Linked DNA regions of Arabidopsis thaliana. The protein of the gene in region 2 interacts with the protein of the main gene of each other region in a pairwise test. Each region holds a gene or a part of one and is shown on either strand. Other genes may lie near its edges.

The links. Proteins that work in one complex are often made in the same cells at the same time.
Region 1: the proteins of AT1G08230 (region 2) and AT4G18220 interact in a protein complementation assay, tested with the Arabidopsis thaliana proteins (one large-scale study listed by BioGRID).

The regions. Positions count from the first base shown.
Region 1 is NC_003075.7:10,077,056-10,080,880, reverse strand, and holds AT4G18220 (Drug/metabolite transporter superfamily protein), read right to left. Parts: upstream 2,244-3,825; 5' UTR 2,154-2,243; coding exon of another isoform or gene 2,114-2,153; coding exon 2,083-2,113; coding exon of another isoform or gene 2,037-2,082; intron 1,914-2,036; coding exon 772-1,913; 3' UTR 519-771; downstream 1-518. Other genes in the region: AT4G18230 (UDP-N-acetylglucosamine transferase subunit ALG14-like protein), read left to right, coding at 1-6, 184-360; PUP10 (purine permease 10), read right to left, coding at 3,386-3,825.
Region 2 is NC_003070.9:2,583,107-2,588,755, reverse strand, and holds AT1G08230 (Transmembrane amino acid transporter family protein), read left to right. Parts: upstream 1-1,786; 5' UTR 1,787-2,055; coding exon 2,056-2,143; exon of another isoform or gene 2,144-2,236; coding exon 2,237-2,467; exon of another isoform or gene 2,468-3,671; coding exon 3,672-3,956; intron 3,957-4,045; coding exon 4,046-4,176; intron 4,177-4,313; coding exon 4,314-4,553; intron 4,554-4,660; coding exon 4,661-5,041; 3' UTR 5,042-5,112; downstream 5,113-5,649. Other genes in the region: AT1G08220 (ATPase complex subunit), read left to right, coding at 5,468-5,632. UniProt on the Arabidopsis thaliana protein: High affinity gamma-aminobutyric acid (GABA) transporter probably involved in GABA uptake into cells.

The DNA of each region.
Region 1 (3,825 bases), on a different chromosome or scaffold from region 2:
TTCAAGGTATACACACTTCGGAAATATTTTATCAAGATTCTTTGCAGTTCTTTCCTCTACATTTTGGATGACCTTGAATGGACTTGTGACCAAAAACAGAGGATGTGTTTTGTTTATTCTTAGTCATGGTTTCTCCATTACATCTAGAATTCCCATAAGTGCTTGTTTCATCTTGGGTTACAGGTGCTGGGAATTAGATGGTCATCAATCTTTTATGTTGAGAGTGTAGCAAGAGTGAAAAAGCTCTCATTAAGTGGATTGTTGCTTTACAAGTTGAGAATAGCTGATCAATTCTTTGTTCAATGGCCACAACTGCATAAGAAGTATCCTCGGGCTCACTATGTTGGGTGCCTGATGTAAGCTGATTGGAACTCTACTTACACCTAGATATATTACAAAAACTTAGAAAGCTACATAGTGTACACCTTCTCTTTATATGCAGGATTGAGTTTTAAACAATGAATTTTTGTAATCAGCTGTTTTGACTTTGTTAATGACTTAATGCTATTTCAGTGAGCTTATAATGTGATTTTGGTCATCTTATTCCAAACTAAACCAGAATCGTGCACAACATATATTTAAATAAAATATACTTCATGTTACAATGATGCACACATTTTCAGGCTGTGACTTCACTTGAGTCGCATCACAAATCTATTATGTTTATTTTTCATTGTAGGCTGCCTTCATACCAATAAAGAAAAGTAAGTTTACTTGATCAGCTCGCTTTAGTCTGTAAACTGTGTGTGCCACAATCTTTGAAGTAACAGCTTATTTTGATTGCTCACTTGACCCTTCTGCTTCTGGTCGGTCAGGGGATTCTGTTGTTGGTATTTCATTACTTTTCTTCAAGTTTGTTTCATCAAGATATTGTTGGTAGACATAGGATACGAAACCCCAAATAGCTAGAATCATAGAAATCACCTTTAAGCCGTTCATTTTGTCATGGAAAATGATGACAGCCAGGATAGGAACCACGGGGAGTCCCAAAGCGCTTATTGCATTTGAGAATAGGGAGGAAAGCTCGAAGATCAGTCCTGTGCAACCGATGGAGAATACCTGCCAGGTAACAGCTGTCCACACTAGGTTCATGACATAGGATACCTTCCCAAGTTTGTAGTTTTCCATTTCACTGCTCAAAGTTTTCCACTCGCTACTAGCAAAAAGCCCCACCACGCTAACACAACTGGCCACTAGACTCATGTAGATTATCATATTTATAACTTCTGAGAAAGTTTGCTTCTTTAAAACTTTACGAAAGGCTAGCTGTTGTAGGGATAAGAGTAGACCAAACCCAGCAGATGCACCAACGGTGCATACGAAACCTTTGACATACTCTCCTTTTGTAACTTTTTTGGAATCTGATTCCTCGTTATTAAATGCAAGGAGGGTGGAAGATATAGTGAGGAGGAAAAGAGAATTCAAAATGATAGGAGTAAGTTTTTGTGAGTTGAGTAAATAAGAGAAGAAAGCGGTGAAGGCTAACTGTGATGCACAGATCAGGGAAAGGGTAGAAACAGGTAGGTAAAGCAGTCCAATGGAATATAGGTAGCAAGCTGCTCCTACAAGAAGTCCAAGCACTATGTAAACTAATGCACGGTTCCTAAGTGAGGTTAATTTGCCATCTCTCTGAGTTGTTGTATGTGTTTTGACTGACAAGAGATGATATGGAAGTAGAATAGGAAAGCCTACAAGCTGAACTACCGTTGCTAGCCATTTGCTGTTTCCTCCATTTTCATAGTATAGTCTGCCCAGAATTGTAGCAACTGATTGGCCTGAAATGACAAAGAATGTATAGATAGCAACCCGGAGCCACCGTTTGTATGTATTAGAGTGAGATAGTTTTGTTTGGCTGCCACTGACCGAACTTCTTTCGTCTTGATCTGTTGGAATTGGTTCTTTTCCCTGCTGAACTGGTGAGTGATGGAAAATAACGCAAGAAATTAGATTATGACTTATTTGTTGTCACACATGAAAAATATTGATATATTGAATAATAAGATACCATAACCATATTTTTCGTCTTTTATTTGAAGATAAAAGACCAGTAGGTTCTCGAGGAACTGGTTTATGCTTACTCACCAATGACTTGTACTTCTTGATCCCCCTTCATAGTAGATGTGGAATCCCCCTCCTTCGAGATGGACAAGGAGGTACTAACAATGTTCTGAATAGATTCTAAGTATTAGGTATCTTATTATCAAATTGCTTGGTTACTAGTGCTACCAAGTGATTGCTTCTGTGATATGGGTGAGACACGCTGTAGCTATATATTTAGAGATTAGGAATCGGTCATCGTCTATGTTTTGATTGTACTTGTCCCCACATTCAGTAAATGCCAACTGTATATCTTCTCTTGCTGTGAATTTAATTTCTTTTGTCACTATTGTTGATCTAGAGATGAGTCGAGTCAAATCAAGAAGGAAATGATGTGTAGCCATTAGTCACTCAGTATTTTATACCTGTGTGACACATCAGCCATATGCATAGACACAAACTTAACACGCATGCACACAAGTTGTAAGATTGTATGACCGTCAGGATGTCTATTTTGAAAGTTATTCGTCTTCTTTAATTTCTTTGGCTTGTTCCGTCTGACTATCTTTCTCTTATGAGATCAGGCATGTGGATTAGAAACACATTTATGGAGATGATGTCTCGCTTCTCTTTTCAAAAGAAGACATTTGCACCACAATATTGGATGGCAGAGGAAGTCACTTTATTAACTGCTAAGATGGAGACTGCCAAATGGTATTATTTCTGGTCATTTACTTTTTGTACAAAGCTCTGTTTCACCAAGGATGTTTGGACCTGTCTGATTAATATTTCTTCTTTCTTCATTAGAAATGATTTTCTGTGTGTCCTTGTTTCACAATGTTTCAGGTAAAACTAGAAAGTGGAATAGTGCATTGAAATCTTTTTAAGTTATGGCTAAGGGTTAATTTTTATCAGGTGTCACACTCACAAAATTGACATGGTTTTTTATTAAATAAATATCTACTTTTATCAATCTGCCTACAGGTTCTTGTTACATACAGGGTTGAGTTACATTTAATCTTTAGCTGCTATGAACCCAAGTTTAAACGATGAACTTTTGTAATCAGCTGTTCTAAACTTAAGATTGTTGGTTCACTGAGATTACAATGTAATTTGGGTAATCGTAATTGAAACTAAACCAAAGTCATTCACTACTTATTTAAATGAAATCTACTTCCTGTTACAATGATGCAAAAAATTTCAAGCTGAGACTTTACATTAGTTGCATCAAAAATGTATTGTGTATTCTTCAATGTAGGATGCCTCCAGGCCGATAAGTAAAGTAAGTTTACTTAACTAGATTGATTGAGTCTGTAAACTGCGGGACAGCATCTTTCAAAATATCAGCTTATTTTGATTGCCAAGTTGACTCTTCTGCTTCTGGTGGGTCAGGGGATTCTGTTGTTGTGATTTCATGATTTTTCTTCAAGTTTTTGTCATCAAGATATTGTTGGTAGACATAGGAAGTGAAACCCCAAATAGCTAGGATCATAGAAATCACCTTTAACCCATTCATTTTGTCATGGAAAATGATTACAGCCAAGATAGGAACCACTGGGAGTCCCAAAACGCTTATTGCATTTGAGAATAGAGAGGAGAGCTCGAAGATCAGTCCTGTGCCACCGATGGAGAATACCTGCCAGGTAACAGCTGTCCACACTAGGTTCATAATGTAGGATACCTTCCCATGTTTGTAGTTATCCATTTCACTGCTCAAAGTTTTCCACTCACTGCTAGCAAAAAGCCCCACCACGCTAACACAACTGGCCACTAGACTCACGTAGATTA
Region 2 (5,649 bases):
TCAATCATTGTGGTTTGTATGATAATTTCGTGTTGTCCTATTGGACCTGGGGTTGATAAACCATCGAGTCCAACAAGAACACAACATATGTACATATGTTTGGTGTATGCAAAATGTTGTCTTTTCAAATTTTCAGAAAAGATTGTTAAAAAATATAAATGCGTCTGCCGGGAGTCGAACCCGGGTCTATTGCTTGGAAGGCAATTATCCTAACCGTTGGACTACAGACGCTTTTGCATATCGAGCAAATAAACTATATATACATATAAACTTTGGATGTTGAGGTTAAAGTGAGAAAGATTTTAAAATACATATATATAGATATAATCTATATATATATTTTTGCATCCATTTTGTGAAATAAATCCTGGAGTTGAAACTTATTTACAATGGCTGTCACTGGCTTTTAATTATTAGTTTTTTCAGCAATAAATTGATTAACAAACGAAAAACATTCCAAATATATTTCAATCCCATATATCACGCAGATTTTTCCAAAATTTGAACTAGATTTCAGCAACTATTTAAAACAAAAAATGTTTGACAACCCAAAAGACAATTGCAATCCCTTAAAATGAGCAAACGCAACTAAATACATTTCTTATCAATTCACTAAATCTTATTTCTCCAAAATTTGAACTAGATTTCGACAACTATTTAAAACAAAATTTTGTTTGACAAACTAAAACACAATCGCAATCCATAAAATATTTATTTTAATTATAAATTTCAACTAGCGGGGTACCGCGGTTTTTTTTTACAGGACGGGTTTGGCAGAACGGGTTTGGAAGGACGTTACTTAATAACAATTGTAAACTATAAAATAAAAATATTTTATAGATAGAGATAATTTGCAAAATTTTATATATACTAGTTTAAATAAAAAAAATTATCTCCGCGGTGTACCGCGGGTTAAAATCTAGTCTATATATACATTTTTGCAACTATTTTGTGAAATAAATCTTGTAGTTGAGAATTATTTACAATGATTGCCACTGGATTTTAATATTTGTTTTTGATAATTAGAAAAAAAATCTTCGAATTAAATATTTGACATTTAATAAATTTTTTTAAAATCTCTTTACATTAACTACACGATTGGTTACTAAAATAAAACTTTCAAAATATTTAATATCATTTAATTACTACAAAATTATCATTATTGATATTGTTTTTCTTCATGACTATTACAATTCAATTATAATCATCAAACCGCAGAGATATTTGATAACATTTAATTACTACAAAATTACAAAATATTTAGACAATGATTCATAAACATATGATAAAGAAGATCAACATTAATAAAATAAATGAGCTTTTTTTACGGGATGGGTTGGCGGGACGAGTTTGGCAGGACGAGTTTGGCAGGACGAGTTTGGCAGGACGAGTTTGGCAGGACGTTACTTAATAACAATTCTAAACTATAAAATAAAAATATTTTATAGATAGTTACATAGATTGTTACAAATTACAAACTTTTATATATACTAATTTTAAAATATAAATTGTCCCTACGGTATATCGCGGGTGAAAATCTAGTATTATTATTATTAACCGAAAGAAATTTCTTTCAATTTTAAAAATTCTGTCAGTTATAATGAAAATGTAAAACTGTAATAAGGATTTAATATACATATTAACATGTTATATTGATATGTTATTACTATTATCCAATTTGCTTTTTCTATTACTGTTTGTTGGATGTATTGAAAATTTAAGATTGTCTCCAAAATCGATTATTTTGAAATTATATATAAAAAATAAGATTTAAGAGATTTGTTTCCAAAATATTTTGAATTCTCCATTTATTTTCATATTCTATCATATATTTTTTAAAGAAAATAATCAAGATATACACATTTTATAACTTCATAAATCGTTTGACACAGAAGAGAATCGATAAACTATAAATCTGCAATGTTTAATATTATTACGAAATGCTTTTAGGTAAAAGATGATATGATAGCAAGTGTGTTTTTTGGACTTATAAAAGTGAGTAGCACCTAGTGGGGGGAGAGAGAGAGAAAGAGAAACAAAGAGAGCGATAAAGAGATGGGTGGAGAAGAGAGATCAGGAGATGGAGAAAAAAGAGGGGAAGAAGTAGTTGATGCTGGTTCTCTCTTCGTCCTTAAATCCAAAGGTACGTTTTATTAATTATGAAATCTATGAAACTTAACGTATACTATTATAACCCATTTGAAGAAGATATGATGATGATGATGATGGAAACTAGGGACATGGTGGCACTGCGGATTCCACTTGACGACGTCTATAGTGGCGCCTGCGCTACTGAGTCTACCGTACGCCTTCAAGTTCTTAGGATGGGCTGCCGGGATATCTTGTCTGGTCGGAGGAGCAGCCGTTACTTTCTACTCGTACACTCTTCTTTCTCTTACTCTCGAACACCACGCTTCTCTCGGCAACCGTTACCTCCGCTTCCGTGACATGGCTCATCACATCCTCAGTAATTCTTTTTCTTTTTACATTTGCTCTTTCCTATAATCAAAGCTGCGACAAATTTACCTTAAGAGAATTTCATTCAAGATTGAGATGTATAGTTGTACGTAGACATACGTGTCTATATGAACTTCTATACGTAATAATTGACACACGGCCGGTACCACTCCAATAATTTCATCCACGCAATAAAGGAAGGTACATGTCCTACGTAATAATTTGTTTGAACAAAAAAAAAAGTTAATTTTTGTGTGAAAACGCGAGATGGAATACTTATAATCACGTTTGCTATTACGAACAACGGAATTTTATAAGAAACCAAGTAAACATTGGTATGAGCTCAACTTTTGTTCGTGGTTGGTTAATATCACAATATATGTATTGTGTAAACCTATGATTTTTAAAAAAATACTTTTCTATACTGTTTGGTCTTGTTTCGAATTATAAGAAGAAAAAAAACTAATCATATGGAATTCATATTATAGTGAATTTTTTGATATGGCTTGCTTCGGTTCAATTTTGTTGGGATCCGGATCGAAGTGTTGACCATTCCACATTTCCACTCATACCACTGTTAAGTTTCAACTTTTTCATGCGTTAGATAGCTGTCTCTTTCCGTGTCTTGTTTCATTTTTGATGCAGAAATTTGTCTTTCAAAACTAATTTCAATTTTTAAAAATATGTGCGTGTCAGAAGAGTATTCATAAAACGTTGGTGCCGACCAAAATTTAATCTTATATAAGTAAAGTTGGATAGGTTCGATCTGCTTTCAAAAGTAGAATATTCTAAATTTCAGATCCTACATAGGATTCGATCCAAATTAGGATAGTTACGCTTTGACTGTCGACTACCAAGGAAATCCACATGTCAACAAAACTTTTAAGACAAAATTTAACGTATTTATCTATGCAAAAACTACAAAATGATGAGAAAAAATTGATTGAAATTTTTTATCTTACTGGATAATTCTGTTTTAGTAGCTAATATGAAACTAAATCCATTATGCATCGAATCATCGATTTGGATTTTAGTTTTCATTAGAGTACACCGCTAATCTGAAGGATTTATAGGAATTCGATTTAGCCCACTTTTTCGGGACTGTATACAACTTTAATTAGGATAAGGTAAAGTATAATACAGGTTCCGAATGTTTGATTAGTTAAGATCAGTTTGGTTTTCCTCTTAACAATTATTGGGGTGTGTTTGATAAGGTCCGAAATGGGGAAGGTACTACGTTGGACCAATACAAATGGCGGTGTGCTATGGTGTGGTTATTGCCAATGCGCTCTTGGGAGGGCAATGCCTAAAGGCAATGTACTTGGTAGTGCAGCCAAATGGGGAAATGAAACTCTTTGAGTTTGTGATTATTTTTGGATGCTTACTTTTGGTTTTGGCACAATTCCCATCCTTTCACTCTCTACGATACATCAACTCACTGTCTCTCCTCCTCTGCCTCCTCTACAGTGCTTCTGCCGCTGCTGCATCCATCTACATTGGTACTCTTCTTTACTAAACCACTTTACTCTTAATTCTTAAACCTTTTATATTGTTACATTTAAAAGGTGAGTTTTCTGTTAAATATCAGGAAAAGAACCAAATGCACCAGAGAAGGACTATACTATAGTTGGTGATCCAGAAACTAGAGTGTTTGGAATCTTTAATGCTATGGCTATTATTGCTACTACATACGGCAATGGCATTATACCTGAAATTCAGGTTTCATTTTGTTTCCATTCTTTGTTTAGAACACCACTTTAATATTTATTCATCAAAAACAAAAGGGCAGTCACATGATCGACTCAGTTATATATATAGAGTATTTGATATATGAATACTATCTTCTTGCAACGCAGGCAACAATATCGGCACCAGTGAAAGGAAAAATGATGAAAGGGTTGTGTATGTGTTACCTTGTAGTAATAATGACATTTTTCACAGTAGCCATCACAGGATATTGGGCATTCGGTAAAAAAGCCAATGGACTTATCTTCACCAATTTCTTAAATGCCGAGACAAACCATTACTTTGTCCCTACTTGGTTTATTTTTCTCGTCAATCTCTTCACTGTCCTTCAACTTTCGGCCGTTGCTGTGGTAAATACAATTTTTTTTTAACGTTTTTCTTTCACATATATACATTGTTATTATTTTATTTTATTTTCGTCACATATATACATTGTTACTAATTTTGAGTTATGCAGGTATACCTACAACCTATAAACGATATTTTGGAAAGTGTGATCAGCGATCCAACAAAGAAAGAATTCTCTATCCGCAATGTCATCCCTCGACTAGTTGTGCGTTCCCTCTTCGTCGTGATGGCTACAATCGTTGCGGCAATGCTTCCATTTTTTGGAGATGTAAACTCCTTGTTAGGCGCTTTCGGTTTTATACCTCTAGACTTCGTTCTTCCTGTAGTTTTCTTCAACTTTACTTTCAAGCCGTCTAAAAAAAGTTTCATTTTTTGGATCAACACTGTGATCGCCGTGGTTTTTTCGTGTTTAGGGGTGATTGCTATGGTAGCGGCGGTTAGACAGATTATAATAGATGCCAATACGTATAAGTTGTTTGCGGATGTATAAAAGAACATGCAAAGCAAAGTGAGATTGTTATTTCTATATTTAAGAATAAGCCTTTTTTTTTCTTAGAAAAATGTTTATGATTATAAATTTGGAAAATAATATTCAAATTTTGATAACAATATTTTTACATAATTTAAATTAATTAATTTTGAATGAAATAAATACAGATGAAATAAATATCTAGAAAATTGATAAATCACAGTACAGGCCTGGAATATGAGCATTTGAAACCCAACGCAAAACAATTCCTAGAAACGGAAGCCCAAAAGTTGGGGGCTATAATTAAACCGGATTTAAAAAATCGGTTTGATTGGTTACCCACACAAAAATCTGGTTCAGGATTTTAGACTCGTTTTCAATTTCAAGCGTGTTTGGTTCGCCGGCAGAGAGACATAACCAAACAAATAGGGTTTAAGCTCTACTAAAATGGCGACGACGTTGAATCGAATCCTGAAGCATAGATCAGTCTCTGCTCTCAACAAGCATCATCAAGGACTCTTCTCCCTCACTCGATACGAGAATCATGACTCTCTCCCTTCTCAAATGCCAGCTCTTCGATCAACCACCCGTTCTTTCCTCGATTTTTATAAGGTAGGAAATTCTGAGAA